Linked DNA regions of Struthio camelus. The protein of the gene in region 2 interacts with the protein of the main gene of each other region in a pairwise test. Links are inferred from orthologs where the notes say so. Each region holds a gene or a part of one and is shown on either strand. Other genes may lie near its edges. The genes, in order: AHCY and ANKRD40.

Region 1 (9,545 bases), on a different chromosome or scaffold from region 2:
TCCCTGACAGGGCTGACTGGCAGGTATCTGCACACTTATTTATAACAAATCTTAAGGAGAGAGGGTAGTAAGGTATAATCCTTCATCCTGTTTTCACACACTCATCCAATTTTCTCAAAAATTGATACACTTCAGAGTGAGGCTACAGTAATAAGTTCTGTAGTTCCCCATTTGGGCCTACACAACCAGTGTTTGTTACTGAAAACATATCTGGAAGGAGTACAGGAAAAGTGAATTCATAAAGTTGAGCCCTCTACCTCCTCACTTGCATTTTTCTGAGCTCCCACGTCAATACAGATGCCATCAGGTGTCATGAAATTCCAGGTATACTGAAAACTTATATATTGTTTACACTTGAAGCAAGATACAAGCTACTTTTCAATTCTGCATCCTTAGATTTGTAACACCAGCTTGTGAAAAAGACACAGACCCAAGAACAACTGTCATACCTGATAGGCTCAGATACTAACATTTGTACCCTTATAGCTCCCTGGTTATGAAAAGGATACATTTCTACTACCCTTTTAGAACTCACGTGAACCCGAGGCACAGAGTGTTTATACCATCCTTGTTATGCCAGCCAAAAAAGGGATGACAAGTTCACTGTGCTGCACAGTGAGCTACATCCTCTTTCTTATCTCCTCCCTCCCAGGCACTGAAGTTCTGGCACAACAGATGAACCAGGGCTCAATCCAAATGGAAGTCTAAACCATCCTGTAGGCATCAGGACAAGATGGGAGCTCAATCAAGTCCCAAGCTAACATGGCAGCACACATCTTGGACAAGCAACCCTAACTTATCCTTAGAGGAACCAAAACACTGCAGGTACCTCCCCTAATAACTTGGATGAACCCCAGGTGACATTGGTGTGGCATTGCTCTCAGGTTAAAGCAGCTGGCAATGTTTAAGCACCCAGCTGCTGCCTAGGCCAGCCACGCTGGGAGACAGCAACTAACAAGAGCAGCAAGGAGCAAATTCAGTGGCTACTCCTCACTTAAATTCTGTGAGGGAATAAGTTTCCTATACCGAGCAGTTAGGATCAAGACCTCCAGGTCAAAGCTCCTTCTTCTTCTTCTAGCCTCCTTTAGTACTGCACTATTTACTACAGCAGAACAGTAACAGGCTGAAGAACACCTCCATGCAGAACAGCACGTAGCCTACAAGTATCCAGACCAATCCCACACTTTTTGAGGAAACGCTTTAACCTTTAGGCTGTTACAGAAAAGGGCTTCCCCTTCTTCCAAGGCCTTTTGATCAGTGTGACACTGCTCAAGGCTTAACCACGTCGGCACGCGCTCTCAGGAGGGAGGGATCCAGGCTCTAGATTGCACACAGGCAGATACACCTCTGGGCAGCCTAGGTCCAGGCAGCTAAACTTCAGGAAGAAAGGATTTCAGATGAAACACTCTGCTTAGCATAATCCATCATCAAGCTCCAGTCTGCTCCCTGCTCAGCAGGCAAGCTATTTGGACTGTGCTAAGAAGCCTAGCTTTCCCCTCATGCCCTGTATTACATTGGGACTTCATTCTGCAAGCCAGGCAGAGGGCATGATGCAGTAGATGGCTTATAAGCGTCTCAGCCTTGAATACAGACCGAGGTAACTGGTCCAAAGTCGCACAGTGAATTTGGAGTCAGTGGAGTCCCGAGCTCCTGATCACTGAGCCACACTGTCTCCCTGTTGTTTTCCTGCATAGCTCAAGGGCCAGCAGGAGCTCAGATGGCTCCATTAGTTTTTGCTGACTTTACCAGGCCATGGTATGGTTCTTAATCCAGGTTAATCTGCGCTGCAGGCAGTCCCTACACATTCAGCATTACCAGCATACCAGCCACAGCAGCGCGTGCCTGAACACAGCACAACTGTGCGGGAGCAGGTTTTGGCACAGCTCCTCAGGGTGCTGTATAGACAGCTGCTTACAGGCCAGAGGAGGGTGCTGAAGCCACCAACCCCACCTTGGAAGGGGCGTCAGGAAGATGCAGCTTGTCTGCACCCCAAAGGCACGTGCATTCCAGGCGACAAGCCTTTTGCTGAAGACGTCCACCTGGAGACCGCAGCGTGGTCTCTTCTCATAAGCACAGAAACCTGCCAGGATCCCCTAGGGTAGTTACATAAACAGAAGCAGTGCCCTAGGCAGAGCATTACCTAAGAGCACACCGAAGGAAAAACTACAGATACTTTACCTCAGCTCCCAGCTCTATAAGGGTCTCTATGAGAACTGCCGTCTGCACAGTCATATGAAGGCATCCTGCGATACGTGCACCTTTCAGTGGCTTCGATGCAGCATACATCTCCCGCATCTTCATCAGCCCTGGCATCTCATTCTCTGCAATCTCAATGGCCTTGCGACCCCAGTCTGCAAGGCCGATGTCAGCTGCAAGCAAAGGAGGGCAGGTGTTGGAGTTCAAATAGCTGAGGCCTTGGTATCTACTCACACACTTGCACATAGCACTGGCTGCAACAGCTGAACTGGACACCCAACAGCTGGGAGACAGTTGAAGGAAAAACAGACCCCATCCCTGTTTCTCCCCGAGTACTGCCTTTGTACTTTGGTACACAGGCTTTCAAGCTAGCGTAAACCACAACATGACTGGATGTTCAGAGGCCCTGAGGCTCGGTAATTCAGTAGGCCCCTAGCCTTAACCACCCCTCCTTACAAACGCTGCCCAAACATCTGACGCTTCTTATTGAAGTTTGCTTCCACAGTACTATGACTTGCAGGGGCAGAGGCTACCTGTTCGGCAACGGCTTCCCCACCAAGGGCTCCAGGTGCTGAGCCCAGTCCAGCTCCCCCTCCTCCTTCCCCGTCAAGCAGTAAGCTCCAGTGCTCCTGGACCCTTTGCTCCACAGGGATAATTTTCCAGGCACCTGGAAAACTCTATCCCTAACCTTGTGAAAAAAGGTCTGCAGCGGGAAAGTTCACCAGAAACTGAGTAAAAGAGATTTCCAAGAGTCTAGCTAGGGGCAGAAAACCCAGCTCTCACAGCGGATCTGCACGCCCAGCCTTACCTACAAAGGCAACAGGCTGAGCGGCTGATGCCTGGCTGCGCCATTCTGCGGCGCCAGCCAACGCCGAGTGTCACCGGTCCTTCGTCACCTCATTCGGAGAAGCTTTTTGGGGCCTTCCCGGTTTGATTAAGAACACGGTCAGACAATTTGCTTTCAGCTACCTAGCGGACACCGTCCATTCAAAGCGTTAAGGAAAACTAGGCCGCCTGAGTCGGACTGCCTGGTTTAACACAGGCAAGATAACTGTGTTTGGTTCCAGAAGGAAGCCTGGGGGCCACCAGAGCCATTGGCTACTTTTTAGCTGACTGGTGCGTGACCTTCGCACCAATGCAGGACACAAAAAAAAGCACAGGAAATGGAAGGGCTGTAGGAATCATAATGACAAGAGAGGGGTTCGCTAAATCCCAATCCCTTTTCAGGTCTCAGCAGTTTTACTAGGGCTCCCAAAAAAAAAAGCTCTAGACCGTTTTGGGTTCACCGCCCACGCTCTTTCCTCAAAGGCGAATTCTCGGTGTATTTGAACCTTACGGCCCAAAGTTCCTGCCGTTGCATTCAGCCTTCACAGAAGCCACAACTCGGGGGGGGAGGGGGAGAACAGTTTTTTGGGGAAGGTCTCTATTCAGAGAAACACCGCAATCCGCAGGGAGGCACGTAAGGCAGCTCCCCGATTTAAGGGCACTGTCGCGCTTGCAGGGGGCCTGCGCCCCCAGGGGAGGGCTCCTGCTGGGCTCGGCGGCAGCCCGCGCCGCCGCCTCCGGCCGCTCCGCACAGGGCGGCAGCCGCTCCCCAGAGCCCGCCCCGCCCCGGTGCTCCCCGACTCCTTCTCCGCCGGGGCTGAGGTAACACGAAGGCTCGGCCAGCCCCTTCCCGCGCCTTGGAGGTTTGTTTTTAAGGCTTTCGTGCTGGGGACCGCGCTCCGCCTGCCGCCGCTCCCCGCGCGGCAGCTGCCATCTTCCCGCCGCCGCCGCGGCCCGTGGCTCCCAGGGCCGCGGCAGGCCGGGCCCGGGGCGGCGCGCCTTCCCCGGCGCGGCACCGCGGCGGCCGCCGGACCCGCACTCACCCACTTTGTAGGGCAGCTTGTCCGACATGCCGGCGGGCAGCGCGGGCCGCGGCGGGCGCAGAACAGGAGGCGGCAGCGGCGCCGAGCGCGCTTTAAGTAGGGGCGGCGCCGCCGCCGTCGTGGGGCGGGCCGGGGCCGGGGCCGGGGCCGCGGACGCGCCGCGCCGCCACGTGCGCGCTCGGGGCCCGGCGGCGGGGGCCGAGCCGCGCCGCGCCGCCTCCAGAGCACTGCGAGGCGCAGCCGGGGCGGGTCGGCCCGGGTGCGCGGCGGCGGCGGCGGCGGCGGCGGCGGCGGCGGCGGCGGCGGCGGCGGCGGCGGCGGCGGCGGCGGCGGCGGCGGCGGCGGCGGCGGCGGCGGCGGCGGCGGCCCAGCCTGCACCAGGGCGGCCTGGCTGCCCCCACCGCCCCTCCCCTCGCGGCCAGGACGATGCCCAGAGGCCTCCCGCCCCCCCCGGTCCCACTGCAGCCGCGGACGCTCCCTCTCTCCCTGGAGCCAGAGCGCGCCCCAGACCCACGGGCAGGCTGCGGCGCCCGGGACGGGCCCAGGGCCCTCCCCGGCTGTGCCAGAGCCGGTCTTGGAGGGCCCCAGAGCCAGAGCAGGCTCCAGGGCAGGCCGTGATGCCCCCTGGTAGCACAGCAGGGCCAGGGCCGTGCCAGAGCTCACCAGTACCGGAACTGGCCGCAGGGCAGTGCCAGCACAGGCCTTGGAGCCCCCCCGTAGCAAAGCAGAGCCCAGGACAGGCCTTGGATCCCCCCAGCGCCAGGGCAGGTGCTGGAGCCCCCTGGTACCAGAGCAGGCGTCAGGGCAGGCCGCTGAGCCCCCCGGTACCAGAGCAGGCCGCAGGGCAGGCCTTGGACCCCCCAGAACCAGAGCAGAGCCCAGGGCAGTGCCAGGGCAAGCCTTGGGGCCCCTGGTGCCAGGCCATGCCCAAGGCAGGCCTTGGGGCCCCCCCAGCAGCAGAGCAGACCCCACAGCAGTGCCAGGGCAACCCTCAGAGTCCCCCCGCCGGCGCAGGCCCTCTGGCAGCACCTGGGCAGGCCTCGGAGCCTCCCAGTAGCAGAGAAGGCCCCCGGGCACCAGAGCAGGGTCGTGGAGCCGCTGCGGGCTCTGGCCAGGCAGCACAGCCCGGCCTGCTCTGCTGCGACAGGCTTCTCGCGGGGCAGCCTCTTCCGCAGGCCTCTGCCCGCGATGCTGCAGTAGTGAAACGGTACGCTGCTGGTGCCGAGGCACGCCGCTGCAGGCACTGAGTCACTCTTCTGCCTGAACCTTGGACTTGGCTGAAGCACGTCCTTGTTTCCAGCGTCCAGCGAACGAGCCAGTTCGCCAGGCGCAGGAAGATAAGAGATCAGGCAGGCCTGTTGGCCGCCACGGCACAGCTCTGCCCACGGCAGTAACCCATGCACGCTGCGCTGGCAGGAGGCAAGGTCCTTTCTCAGCCTCGTCTAAGGGTCACACATACGTTGGCTTTGCTCTTACTCCTGCTCTAACACGTGAAGCACGTTTCTGACAAGTCTCAGTCATAAACTGGGGCGAATTTTGCAGCCGGTATGTTACATAATAGGTTCACCTCTTCTTTTTCTGTGTAATATTTACAAGCAGATGAGGATTTCCTCATGCTTTCTCAGTAATTCTCACTTAATTATTTTGCAAAGTTTGAAATAATCCTCTGAGTGGATCAGCGCAGAGTTTGTCTCTGCTCCCTATTTCTGAGGTTCAGTATTTGTTACCTGAGTAACAATTTATCTTCTGTGACTGGTCCCACAGAGAGCAGTTCAAATGGAGATGCAGAAGTCCCAGCGGGAAACCTGTAGTTATATAGCCGGTATATGTGCAAGTGCTAATATTCATGTTTGATGTTCTGAGCGCTAGCAGGGCATACGATCACATCCGATGCCATGCTAAGCAGTTATGTAAGTCAGAAGGTCCCCCAGGGGACTAACAGGCCAGTTCCTCTGGGACAGGTTCACCTAATTCTGTCATGCCTCGCTCTTTCCAGAGAAGACAGCAGTAGGGAGCTCATTTGTTTGTGTATGTTACTAACAACCCTTTGTCACAGCTCCAGTACACTGGCTCGCATCAGTGGGACAGCAGTTTAGGTTCTGGTAGTTCCCCACGCACTGCCCAGATACCTACACCAAGGCTGTATCTACTAGCAGGATGCAGCTTCTGCATGTCTCTGCCTGCCAGCCTCTGCAGGCATGTAAATGAGGGACTTCCCAACAGACCTATTTTGTACCGTGTGCCCTAAAGGCAGCAAAACACTCCACGCATGCCTTGTATAAGATGCCAGCCCACAGCCTCCCCAGCAAACCTGATTGTCGGTTGGTCGGTTATAGCAAATGTCTTTATGTACTTTCCCACAGCAACGCCGACACATAAAATATCCTTCTTAAATTAATCAGCAAGGCCAGGACAAAGACATCATTTCATGTAACTCCTACTAATTTCAGCTCAAGACATACTTTCCTGTGAAGGCTGAAAGGAACCAGCCACCTGATTGCAGATAAGCCAAAGAGTGGGTAGTCAGAATTGATATGCATTTATTAAATGAGGACAGATCAGCCCCACCTAGAATGAAGATGCTCCATCACTTGACAAAATATTTCCAGTTGTTTATAACTCTGCATAAAGAGTACTTGAAGACAAGTGAAGTTAGCTGCCGTGTTTGCCCTGAGCCTTTGATTTAAGAGATAAAGGTAGAGATAAAAGAGAGAAAAGATAAAGACCTGATATCATTGCTTTATGCTATATCTTAATTTAGAAAGTCAGTGCCTCAACTATTCATGTACACCCTGGATCCCCTCATTGTTACTGTCACTGGTGGATTTGGGACACCAGATGGCACAAGATAGGTACGAAATGGCAGGGAGTAGGATGGAGTGAAGCAGAGGGAACAGGGGAAAGAACAGAAGAGTCCAAAAAGCAATCTGTAGCAGGGTACACGAAACAATAGCAGGATGTTTTTCATGTTATACATCCTGCTACTGTTTCATTTACTGTAGTAATTCAAATAGGGAAGTTCTGGGCTGTAAATTTAAATATCCTAGGGTCACTGGAAAGCTGTGAAACTCAGGGAAAAAAACCTTTTCCTTCATAATGACGTTATGACATTTTGCAGAATTTTAAGAAAAGATTCGGCTCAAAAGGCTTGGTTAGGAAATACTGTCGATTTCAAGAGCAGGAGAAAACATCAGTCTAAACTTCTGTATAATACAGGTGGTATTTCATGCAGGTACGCTATACTCAGACAGTTAATTGCTTGACTAGGGCAAATTATACGTTATATACATTATAATAAGCATATTATGCAATCCGAGAGCTTCTTTTATAAAGAGAATGCCATTATTTGTTCAACAAGATTCTCATCTGGTAGTGCACTGGGATGGCCAGTGTTGAGTATGAATTAGAAGCATACAGTAAATGAGGCTGTTGTCTGTAGGACTTCAATTTGTCACAGCAGATAGAAGATGTGTATCATATATGATTAAGGAGTGCTGGGGGAGTATGGAGAACTGCATTCTACCCCAATCTCAGCCCAGCCACCCCTTTGTGGCACTGGCTCAGTCTCTTAGGACAGGCTTTGCATGAGCAATCGTTAATTGACTATTCCTCATTTTCCAGACACCTGCCTTAAAAAAACCTCACACCACATTTTATTTGGCACATAGGCTCAAGCCATGACCTGACTCCGGCTTTCACAGGTTTTACATAAGCTTGAGAGGCAGCAAGGGGAGAAAGCGTGGCTCACACTTAGTGGTATCTGCAGATCAGCCCACAGCATCTAACCCACACCAGCTACCATGTAGCCTGTCACCCCTCCCCATGACGTCAGGTGGCCGATAACAAGTCACACAATCTCTCACCACTGCAGACCTTGTGGACCTTGTGGCAGAGGTGGTATGTGGGATGCCCAAGGTCAGGCTGTCCTTAAGATCAGGTTGCTGGACACAATGCACCCAAGCTACAGGCATCCCGGAGCCTACGAGGAGCAGGCTATGCTCTTTCCTGTTCCTTAGTCAACGTTCTGCCAGGCAAAGCGGGCTGAAGTCCAGAGTACATCACTGAGCTTAGAAAATGCTGCACAATGCTAAATACTCTCACAAATCAAACCCTATATGTCTCAAAGTGGTACCCACAAGCAGTGAGAACATTTGATGTTATATTCTGTACCTCAGCTTTCCCTTACCTATAAAATGAGAAAATCATTCTGCTCACCCACAAACTCACACACACGTACTGCAAAAATAAGTTCATTTCTGTCTATGAAGCACTAAGATGTTGTGGTGGTAGCATCCAGGAGCACCCCTAAGGAAACGAATGTTGTTTTATCCTGCATAAGGGTTTGATGAAAAGCAGTAAAGAAGAACCATCGTACTGAGTGATGCATATAAAGTAGGTGCTGGGTAACTACCATTTCCCCAAGCATGAGCCATTCTGTGCAATAAGGCAGAGACACTGTCTGATGATCCAGGTAGACTGTATTGCGGTAAATGTCACAAGGTGCCTAATGAAGGCCCTGACGGTGACGGGCATCTACTAAGTGCTTTGCTCTGTAGGCTTTATGTTCTCTTAGCCAGAGCCAACAGCAGGTTTGTGAAGGCCCCAGCCAGCAGCTGAAGGTTGTAGCAGCCTTCTTAGATGCATGCTGGCTAACTCATACTGCTAATTTAGCTTAGTAGGGGTCCCATGTGGTCTAGAGCCGTTGTTGTTCATGCTTAAATTAGCTTTTAACATAAGGCATAGATAGCATATGCATACACTTATAATACTCACAAACGTGTATTACAGCTCAGGCTGCGAGTAAGCTCTCCCCACCTGCCTCAAGCATAAAATCTGAGACATGTTGCCGTATGTGTTTGCATAAAGTCCTTCATGTGGTTTCACATTCGCTATCATCCTGTGCAGCCATATAGATAACAGCGGGTTTCTAGTTCAACTTTGAGTTACACTATCTCAATCCACAGAAGCGTGTATATCACTGCAACTAGCACTAACATTATTATGATAATACGATTTGTCCCACTGATGTTAAGTTCAACACATTCCAGATTCAATACAGCTGATTTTCTCCTCATAGGTCCCTGATAAAGACTTCTGCACTTTACTAAGTTCTGATTTTGTGTATACAGTGCCATCCACTTTCCGTCATTAACTCCCCAACAGAGAGCAGAGAGAGCCTTCGATGTATCTTCCTTATGAGTGAGGACTGTCAACGTTTTAGGTAAGAGTTTAGTATGACCAAGCTGGTGCCTTCTGGGAGGAGTATGGGTGGTCCAAGGATTTAAAGTAGGCTATGTTTTTGTCGCAAGAACGCTAGAAATTATTTACTTGAGAACATGTAGTCTGTACACTCAGTGCAAGCAAGAACTGAAACAAGAGCTAGACGAGAATAAATGAACTAGTGTGAGGGGAAGTTTGGACTAATTTTTCCTCTTGCTTCTTATTTTCCCTATGCTGCCAGCAAGAGGAAAACAACCGATT
Region 2 (10,073 bases):
CTGTAGCCAGCGTTTTGTGCCACGGTCTCTGGCGGTGTAATGCTATCATCTTCATAACGTATAAAGCAATGAAAAACAAATGATAACATGTTTGTCGATATTAAGGCCAGGGATAAAGGGAAAAAAACACAGTACAAGGAGAACTGAAACATCACCAATTCAACAGCAGGGAGACAATAATGGCCACGAAGACAGGCAAGGGAATAAGGAAGGAAAGAGGCTGTTAACTGACCATATTTCAAACTACTCACCTCCAGCAGCAACGCCTACTCCGCTCCAACGGTTACAACACATGATAAAAATGCTCTAGCAAGGTACTTTATTGAGCTGCTTCTCTAGGATGCTAATTTTCCATTTACTCAACACAGCATCTAAACTCCATAAAACACCAGGAACGTTAGGTATTGGTCATCTACTGCAAGAGCTTCAGACAACTTTGAGAGATTTTTCCTCTATTTGCTTCTTCTGAAAACATCAAGCTGCATCTACCTGCAATCGATTTACTAATACGGTTTTTCAAAATACAATTTTTTCAGGTTTTTTTTTTCCCCCGTGTTTAGAAAAAAGCTGGGTTACCTGCGTATGGAGTTTTTTGGTAGCCCTCTTTCTCTAAATTGTGATTTCTCGCTAAGTAAACGCTCACTCACAAAAACTTTCACAGTATCGTCACACGTAAAATAACCCAGGAGCGTAATTGCTCTCAACAGCCTTTTACTGTCGTCTTCAGAGATGGTATATGATATAACCAGTAGCTTTACCTCCCAGCATCTTCCGAATCTCCCTCCTGGAAGTCAACTGGACGGGCCGTTCTCCTTTCCTTGTGCGAATCTCCTTGTCGGCCCCGGATCGCAGCAGGTAGGACACCACTTGCGCGTGGTTCCTTTTACACGCCCAGTGCAAACAAGTCCTGCACACGGAAAACGGCAACGCTCTTTGAAATACTCGATTACAGCACATACGTTTCATGCATTCCTGCTGCATATAGGAAGCACAAGACCCAATGCATGTCTAGCATAAAAAAAGCTTTTAATAGCTACGGTCCTTGCAGATTCACACCGTTTCTGGAGCCTGCAGTGACACCTGCTGATCTGGTTTTTTTCCCTCGCGATAATGCTCTTGATATCAAGTTACTATAGCAATAGTTTTCAAGATCTTTTTAGGTTTTCATGTATGAGGCTATTAACTTTTATTGAAAATAAATATAAAAAGAAGGCTTATTTATTTGTTTAATCTTTGAAAGAATAAGTTATTCTTCAAATACTTTTGTGTGTATGTGAGCTAACATGCAGCTTCTCGAGGGTGCTTTTTTTTTTCCACTTTAATCAATGCAGTCAGTACGGCGATGTGCACCTTTCTGAAAGTAAATTACTTGGAAAATATTCTAGTTCTTTGCCTAGTTGCTATTCACCGCACCAGCAGACTCCAAGCTTTATGCTGCAGACAACTAGCGCTCTGCAGTGAGCTTGTGGTTGGCAACCTGTAACTGATGCACTGAACTGATCGCTTTTCTGGTTTTTTTAATTATTATTGGCAGTCACTGACCTGGAAAGACATAGTAAAGAAACATCCTCAACGCTACTTAGCTTATTTAGTGCTTAGTATTAGTATTAAGGACTTAATAGTCTTCTATATTAAAACTTGTTGTACAGCCTTACCGTTCCTCCCTATCTGGGGGTCTAGCGGTGTTTGAGCTTTCTCTAGCTCTTACTTTAATACTCTAGCTCCAGCCAAGGAAAAGTCTTTGGATAAATTAAAACTCTTTTATCTTTCTTCAGTTTTTTAAAGGACTAAATAAAATAAAACAGAGATTAGAAAACAAACTTATAAGGATAAAAAAGTTTCAATTGAAAGTCCAGCTTCAAAAGCTTTTTTTTTGGGGGGGTAAGGAAGAGACGCAGTCGTCACACAACAAAGCTGTCTCTTGATCAGTAACTCCCAACTTTGTATGGGCGTAAAGGAGAAAAGAAAGAATCTGATCTGTAGGGGTACAAATTAGGTTAAACCAAGAGAAGACAAAGTAATTTGTAAAGCCCTGTTCATTGGTATATGTTCCAACTTAATTAAACCCATCTTAGCAGAAGCAAAAGGCATCATTCTACATTTCTTATTACTAGAATTAATGCGTCTCGATGGCAGAAAGTCTCTCTGAATTAAAGGTAATGGGACTAGTCACTGCAGCAAGCAACATTGCCTAGAATTAGATCTGACTGAAGAAACATGGTAAGTGTATGTATGCATATATATTTTTTCTTTATAGCCTATCATAGGACATGGGTTATAAATTTTATGTTTTAAAGGGGGGATACAGCTAATAATACTGTAAAATCCTGTATTTTCGCTCCACGATTGGGCTGTGCATTTCAGCCAAAAAGTGCCATTTTTAAAATGGCATAACATAATTTTGTCAGCAGAACGTAGTCCTGAATTTTTGACACCAAAGATCCCTCAGTATCTGAGACAAGCTTCCTGAAACTCGGACCGAGTTTGTTTAGTTTTGCTGTGTCATGCTTTTTGGACTTTTCACAAATCTCTCCTTGTTTCGCGTGTGAATAGTTTGCATGGATTCAGAAGCAGCGCACTGCCAAGTCGTAGCTAGTTTAGACCAAAGCAGCGAGAGAACACGCAGGCAGCGCGGGGATGTTTGCTTTCCCTGCTTAAACGAGGATGCTCCATTGAGAATTACACACTATTTCCTCTATACTGAACGCCAGAGACTTCAGCGGGACCCTGCACGCGTGTAAAACTCGAGGGTTTAGTTTGCTCAGAAGATACGCGAGCCTCAGCGGCGCTGCCTCATTTTGGAATTCGTTCTGACCATCGCACGTGGCTTTAGCAAGGTCTCATGCGGAGAGGTACCAGCTACCCCCCCAGATCCAACACACACCAAAACGCACGTATCCAGCACCCCCGAGCATCAGACTCATGGAAAAGGTCATTCCAGCGATTTAAATTCTACAAGCAAACCTAAATAACAGTGAAGATCCATTTACTGTCATAGTCAAAAATGACCAGATCGTTATTTCTGAAAATAATTCTTTTTTTTTTTTTTAATTTATTGTTTCTTCCATCAATGCCAGTTTTAGATAGAAACTCATTTGGATGGCCAGCAACTACTTCTCTTGCACATGAATATAATTTATGCTCTTAGGAATCACTTTGCAGAAGTTATTACAAGCTCTGATTTTAATCACAATTTGAACCGCAAGTTGCAAGCGTTCCATGCTGCTGACGACTACTACTGGCGCTCTAATCTTTAGAATAGCAGCTTCTTTCCTAATTTTGTTCTTCCTATTTTTAATTAAAACCTCAAGCGCAGTACAGCATGGTAAATACACACTGAATTCAACTTGAGGAAAACAGCCTTCAAAAACGCCTGAGCGTTCCCTGCAGCTCCCGCTTCAAATGGTACCGTGTGCGTGTTCATTCACGTATATAGTCCCGCCTGCACAAACGCGTATTATTACCAAAAGGACTTCGTTTTAGTGTCACTAGGTGGTATTTGAATGAGATGTCAGAACTAAAAGTATTTTAGGGACATCACCGAAACAGCCTGCAAGTTTGCTGATGAAAGTGCAGTCACTTTAGAGCCTGATTTGGAAGTTAGCACGAATTAAGTCCGGTTATAAATTAATATATCTTGGCAAGCTGAGGTTTATTTTTTGATAGCTATGTTACGGTGCTGTCTTAGGCTGCCAGCATTCCCTTTCCAAAAAAATAAACAATATAAAGTAACAACGACCTGAAGAAGGATCAAACACCAAAGGAACAAAAATAGCGGGTGGGACGAGAGTGCAAATTTATAAAGCAATTATCAGCTCCAGCAGTATTTTTTTTCCTTTTTGGCGTAGTGAGAGGTAGCTATAGGGAAGAGCATTTGGCAAGGCGTTGAAGAAGCACATTTTTAATTTCATCCCAAATTCACACCGGTCATGATGCGCGTATTTCAGCTGAAAGAGAAAAAAATCCGCAGTAGCGTATGCCTAGTCAAAAACAAAACAAAAAGGGTAAACAAACTCATCTCTACAGCCTCAGGAGCCCTCGGTTCCACTCGTCCTGGAGACGACCCGCTCCGGCTCCCGCTCGGCAGCCTTACCAGCCGTTGATGTCATTCTGGGAGTTCAGGTTCACCCCCAGTTCCACCAGCCGCTGAACTTCCTCCGCGTCCCCCAGCGCCGCCGCCTCTCTCAGTCTCTCCTGCAGCTCCTTCTCCTCTACCAGGGCTGTCATCTTGCTGGAGCCTCGGACCAGACGCGGGTCTGGTGGAGGAGCGCTCTAACCGGGGCGATCTCTCATGCTGCCAACCTCGCAGACCGGGCAGCTCCGCAAGCACAAAGTGTCTCGTGCCCTTTGTCGGTTTTAAATTTGGATGCAGAGTGACTTTCTGTGTGCTAGCCTTAAATCAAGCCCAGGGACCTACTGCCAAAGGACATTATAACAAACACGCTTGCAGGGTGTCCGGAGCATCCCCCTTTCCTAAACTCTTCCAGGGGGACTCTATTATCTGTGACAACTCTGACCTAGATATTTAGTTCCTACGAACAGCCTTGCGTGCGAGTCATGGCTGCTGCGATTTTACAGTCGGGATGATTTATTAGCCACATACGGGTACGTGGCAATTTTAAAGTACCAAACTATTATTTAATGTACAGGCAGCTGTATAACGCACAGCATCTCCTGCTCTGTTGCTTGTGCTTACAGGCTCCAGAATCGCACGACTGCTCTGTCTAGGAAATTCTCATCATCGCTGAGAATTCGCGTTGCAATTAATTAAGCCCTTAATAACTCCAAGGCTACCTGCAAAGCATTTGCAAAGATTACAGGCAGTTCCTGTAATTCACCGTATTTGCTTTAAAAAGTTGATTTTGATCACTGTTGATTTGTCCTAAGCTAAGTTACGGAAGAGCGAAGAGCTAGTAAAAATTTCACAATTATAAAAACTCAAAAGAATCATTTCTGTCTCCAGCCAGACATCTAACGAAACTACACCATTTCTAGTCTAGTATGCTCTAGGAGCGCACTCTGGGGAAATTTGCAATGGTTAGGCTGATCCCAGTTCAGCAGCCAGGGTACCTGGCTGGTGTTTTGATGCTATGGGAGCAATATAAAGCCGAAACGCAGAACAACTCTGGCCCCCTTTTCTAAAGCAAACATCCACCTTCCATCCCCCTCAAAACCCCAAACTGTAGAATTTTTAAGATTTAAGATACGTGTAAGTGGGGTCGCACTGATTTCAGCTACACTCTTACTTACAACAATTCAAATGGGTAATTAAATCACTATGAAATTGCAAAGATTAAAAAAAAAAAATGTAGTGCCTTACAGTGCTGGATATGGAAGTTTTATGGACAGAGTTCTGAACAGAAACTCTATGGACAACCCGTGAGTTTGCGTGAAGCCTTCAGTGATTGCAGCAGAGGTCTGAGCAAGACCAGCCATGAATTCTGTGTTTTTTTACAAGGTCAGCGCTAATACAGACTTCAAACTCTTAAAAAAAAAAAAAAAGCAACCAAGTTCAAGATTTTTAAACTAACATTCATACTACTTAATTATTCCTTGTCTTTTTTACTTCTTCCAGTATAAATGATGGAAATATAGACTAGTAGCACAGAGGAAATTTAAATCCAAACAAACACAAAATGTTAACGTACTAGATTTTTCGGGTACCTGAAAACGTCCATTATCTGCGAAACTATACCAAACCTCTGAAAGCACCAAGATGCCCAGCGTGAGCGCGCTCACCCGTGGCCAAGCCCTTCCCAGGCCACTAGAACCCTCTTTTTATTACAAGATAAAGCAGCATGATATTGGTTCTAAAATGAGCCCAACAGGAAATGACAAAGTAAGGGAGAGAAACATAGATGTTTCTCTTATACTGTGAATAGAGGGGAATATCTCTGATTAAAAACTTGATTAAAAACCCAGTCCTTGTTAGGTCCGTTTCGCTACGCTTCAGGAGTATCAGTATGGTCACGGTTCATAATTTTTACATGTGGAAAAATGCTGGGAATGAATGACTAAATGATCTATAAGCAGGTAGAGGATAATAGTTATAGGGGAAAAAAATGGATTTGTCAAGGGTAGGCAGACTGAGCTACTATAATTTTCTTACTTGGCAGGAAAATTGGTATAGAGGATAAGAGCAAAGCTGCAGGAGTGCCAATGGTAGATGTTCGGCCATAGTCCACAGCACTAATATTCTCATTAGCAAGTTAACGACTGACAGTACAAAAGAAATTTCTACAAAACCGACTAGCAGGCATTCGAAAAAAGCATATTCAAGAGAGGAGTTGGCAGGGATTGCATTAACTGAGGTACGAAAGGGGACTGTCCTCGTCTGGCGGTACTAAATAATTTGGCATACTTTGGGCAGTCAGAATGATTCTGAGGACTTGGAAAATGCTTTAGAATCAGTAAGGTAAAATTCAGTAAGGACAAGGCCCAGAGCCACACCTAGGCAAAAAAAGAAAAATACATCCAAAAATGAGCAGAAGCTGGTTGGGCGTTAATACCAGAGAAATTACACGGGGCTACAAACTGCGTATCGGTGCACCGTTAAAAAAAAAAGCTATTAAAAAATGCAAAAAACTGAGGAGACCCTTCCTGCGTTTGTGCAGTAACCAAGCCGGGAAGCTGGAATAAATCCACGCTTTCAGACTGCTATAGACGAACGGGAGGGAACCCCAAAAACAGGTAATAAAAATTAGAAGAGTTGTTTTAAAAAAAAAAAACCAAACCAAAGACCCATGAGAAAAAAATTAAAACGAACTGGGTTTATTTAAGGAGACACGCGTCTTGAAATCTGCAAGATGACTGAATAAAGTGAACGCTCATCAGTTAGTCTCCGTCCATGACGGGACAAGACATAACCGACCGGTACCGGGGCGAGGAAGGTTTTGGTCAGCTGTGAGGCCCCGTGCCCTCCCCGCCGGCCGGAGGGGCGCTCCCGGCGGGAATACCGTGCCCGGGGCCCTCAGGAAAGGCCCCGGCTCCCAGCCTGGCCACGTCCCGGCTGCGAGGGACGCCCCCCCGGCGAAGCCGCCGACCGCGGGGCAGCGCCGCCGCGGCCCGTCCCCGCCGCCATCGCGAGGCGGCGGCGGCCCCCGCCAGGCCCCAGAGGCGGTTAGCAGGCGCGCGGTGCATTGTGGGCAGGGCGAGGAGCGGCGCCGCCATTTTGTCTCTGTCACTCCAGCGGCGGCGCGGTCGAGTCGGGGAGGAGAGGCGGCGGCAGCGGCGGAGCCCGGCGGGGAGGTATTCGGCCAGGAAGACACCATGATATCGGCCGCCCAGCTCCTAGATGAGCTTATGGGCCGGGATAGAAACCTGGCCCCGGATGAGAAGCGCAGCAACGTGCGGTGGGACCATGAGAGCGTGAGTGAAGCGGAGCCGCCTCTCCCCCTCCCTCCCCTGGTCCCCCCCCCCCCCTCCGGCCGAGGGCCTGGGTCTTGTCGGCGCGACACGCACCGCGGGTGGGGGCCCGCGGAGGGGGAGCGAGGGGGCGCCGGGGTCTCGGCGGGGGAGGATCCGCGGAGGTTTAGCGAGAGGAGAGGGCCGAGGCGCCGGTGGAGCCCGTCGTGCGAGGCTCCCGCCCCGAGGCCGCGGGGCTCCTGCATGGCGGCCGCGGGGCGGCCTAGGCCCGCGCCGTTGCGCGGGAAGCTCGCTGAGCCTGCCCGACGAGGAGGAGGAACTGGGTGGCCGGGAGGGAGGAGGATCCCGCCATGGCTTAGCTGTGCGAGAGGGCTTGCGTTGTTATCAGGGCTGATGGGAGGAGAGAGGCCTTGTGTTTGGGTTTCAGCGTAAGGGGGAGAGGCTGTGTTCGCCTTGGCGTGCGCTCCCTGTCGCGTCGACAAATGGTAGTAAGGGTTTCCGAGAGGCCTGCCGATGGCTGAAATCTCCCGGGGGGGGAGGGGGGAACTGTGGGAAGCTGTAGTAGAAGCAAGAATTTCTTGGAGCCTGCTGGCTTGCATGAGGGGAGATAAGACAGGTGTTAGCGGTTTGAAAGACAAGTTTTCTCTGGATCTCTTCCTAACTGTGGTATTGGAGGAAACGGAAGAATACATTCATGCTAACTTAACTGTGAAGGTTGTAGCGCAGTGACGATCCAGAAGACTTTTGCAGCTGAAGATTTTTCAAAGTAAAAAACTTGATTGCTTCTGTACTTTCCCAAAGCTTACCTACTGCACTTCCGGGTGGGAGGGCTAAACCTAAACAGTATTGCTGTTATTTTTGTAGTACTTGAGAATTTTTTGTCAATGGGGTGATAACATCCATCTTCTGCTTTAAACTGCTCAAAAAGAAGAGGATTTTCTTATATTATTTTGGAGTGAGGTTTCTCCCCACGTGTGGTTAAATCTTAGTGGATATTAGCTTCTAGCGACATCCATTGTGGTTGGTATTAGAACTTATTTCACAAAAAAATCAGTAGTAATAACAAAGTTGCCATAGCTGCCCCTTTGGGTGACTTGAAAACTCTGAAACACTTCCCTCTACTCCCTTCCCCCTGTCGTGATGTATTTTTGTGCTGTGCTGTATTTTAAAAGAAAGAGAGAGTCCCAGTTCAGATAAGACAGTTCACTTATCTTTTGTGTGGTCGAAGTTGTTGTGGTTAAAGCTGCAGAAAGCATTTAGTTTAAATGTGTGGTGTTCCTCCCCCCTTAGCATTTTTTTCATGTTGTTAAGTTGGGAGGCAGGAGAAATGTTTGCTTTTGGCTTTTTAAAGTTGTGTCTGAATCACCAAGTTGGGAATTTCCCATTTTCAAACAAGAGTTACTTTATTTTAGAGCTGGCTAAACCAAGTTTTAATTTGTCTCAAAAACAACATGTAAGGACAAATACCTGTCTTGCTAGACTTTTGTAAATCCAAGCAATTTTTAATTCTCCTTGAAAAATGCTGTTATAGAGGTAAGCTATACGCATCAGGAGAAATTGAGCTCAGGAAGTTTTATTAATGAAATAATGTTTTTTTTTTTTTTCCTGACTTAATCAAGTGTGATTGTTCAGATAGGTGTTCAGTTACACATTTTCTGAGCTCTAAAAGGAAAGGAGTTGGTTAACCCTGGAAATAGGAAGTAAATGGCTTCGGGCATGTCCGTGCAGGTAGAGGAGATAAGGGGTTTCTCGTTTTATTTCTGAAGATGAGAAAGAATTTTTTGCCTCCTTCTCTTTAATCAAGTTAAGATGACTTAATCCTTAGCCTAAAATTGAAAAATAAACTCTTTTAAAATGTGTGACTCAAAACCATAGAAATCCATCTCTAAGATGCTGTTCAGTTTTGTTGTTTCAGAAACAGTGCCTTGTTTCTTCTTCTCAGTCCTCCCTTGATGATTTAGAAAGGGGAGAGCTGTCCCTGTCCTTGTTGAGGCCAGTAGGGGCTTAGAGTTGATCCTTCAGCCTAAGAGGAAATGTTGCTGTGTTCGTTCCGAGTTTGCTTCTTTTTTTTTAATGAAGTTTATATGAGCATCATTAAATGCAACCTTTCTGAAAGGGATGTTATCATAAATCCCTATAGTCAGTGGGCTAGTTCAGAACAAAACCTTTCCCGTGTTAAAACACAGAAATGTATTTTACTTTCAGCTTAAATTTGTGCATCGGTTTAATAAGGGTTTTGTTAGTAATGCTGACTTATTTTAGAAGTCAGGAAATGCAGATAAGGTTCAGCTAGCAACATTAGTTTGCCTGTTTATTGTTTTGTTTTTCTGGTTAAACATGTACATAAGTGTTGTTACTTGTGAAATTATACCTGTTATCAACACAAAGCCTTTTTCAATGTGAGCCTGTTGTATTCTCATTCCAAAATTTAAGATTTTATCAAGATTTCATAAATTTTAGATGTGGAAGGTTATAATTTCTATTTATCATTTGTAAATTACATTTAGGTAGATGTCACAACTTCTGTGGAAGATGGTGTGAAATGCACAACAGAAATAGGCTTTTGTGAAGCTGTGGAAGCAGCGTGTATGATAGCTGAGCGTTTATTCGCAGTTGTAATGAAAAGTGTGATGATCATCATGTATTGTAAAGCCTGTTGTATAGCTTAAGTTTTTACCTTAGAATTTTGACATGAGTAAAGCTTATAA

The links.
Region 1: the proteins of ANKRD40 (region 2) and AHCY interact in binary tests that used the Homo sapiens proteins (3 or more experiments, as listed by UniProt). The two-hybrid records come from large-scale screens. The link is inferred for Struthio camelus from reciprocal best matches to the Homo sapiens genes ANKRD40 and AHCY.

The regions. Positions count from the first base shown.
Region 1 is NC_090959.1:3,731,791-3,741,335, forward strand, and holds the start of AHCY (adenosylhomocysteinase), read right to left. Parts: upstream 4,202-9,545; 5' UTR 4,093-4,201; coding exon 4,065-4,092; intron 3,885-4,064; exon of another isoform or gene 3,719-3,884; intron 2,370-3,718; coding exon 2,179-2,369; intron 1-2,178. UniProt on the Homo sapiens protein: Catalyzes the hydrolysis of S-adenosyl-L-homocysteine to form adenosine and homocysteine. Binds copper ions.
Region 2 is NC_090960.1:7,424,795-7,434,867, reverse strand, and holds the start of ANKRD40 (ankyrin repeat domain-containing protein 40), read right to left. Parts: upstream 4,566-10,073; 5' UTR 4,228-4,565; coding exon 4,094-4,227; intron 908-4,093; coding exon 759-907; intron 1-758. Other genes in the region: LUC7L3 (luc7-like protein 3), read left to right, coding at 7,270-7,368.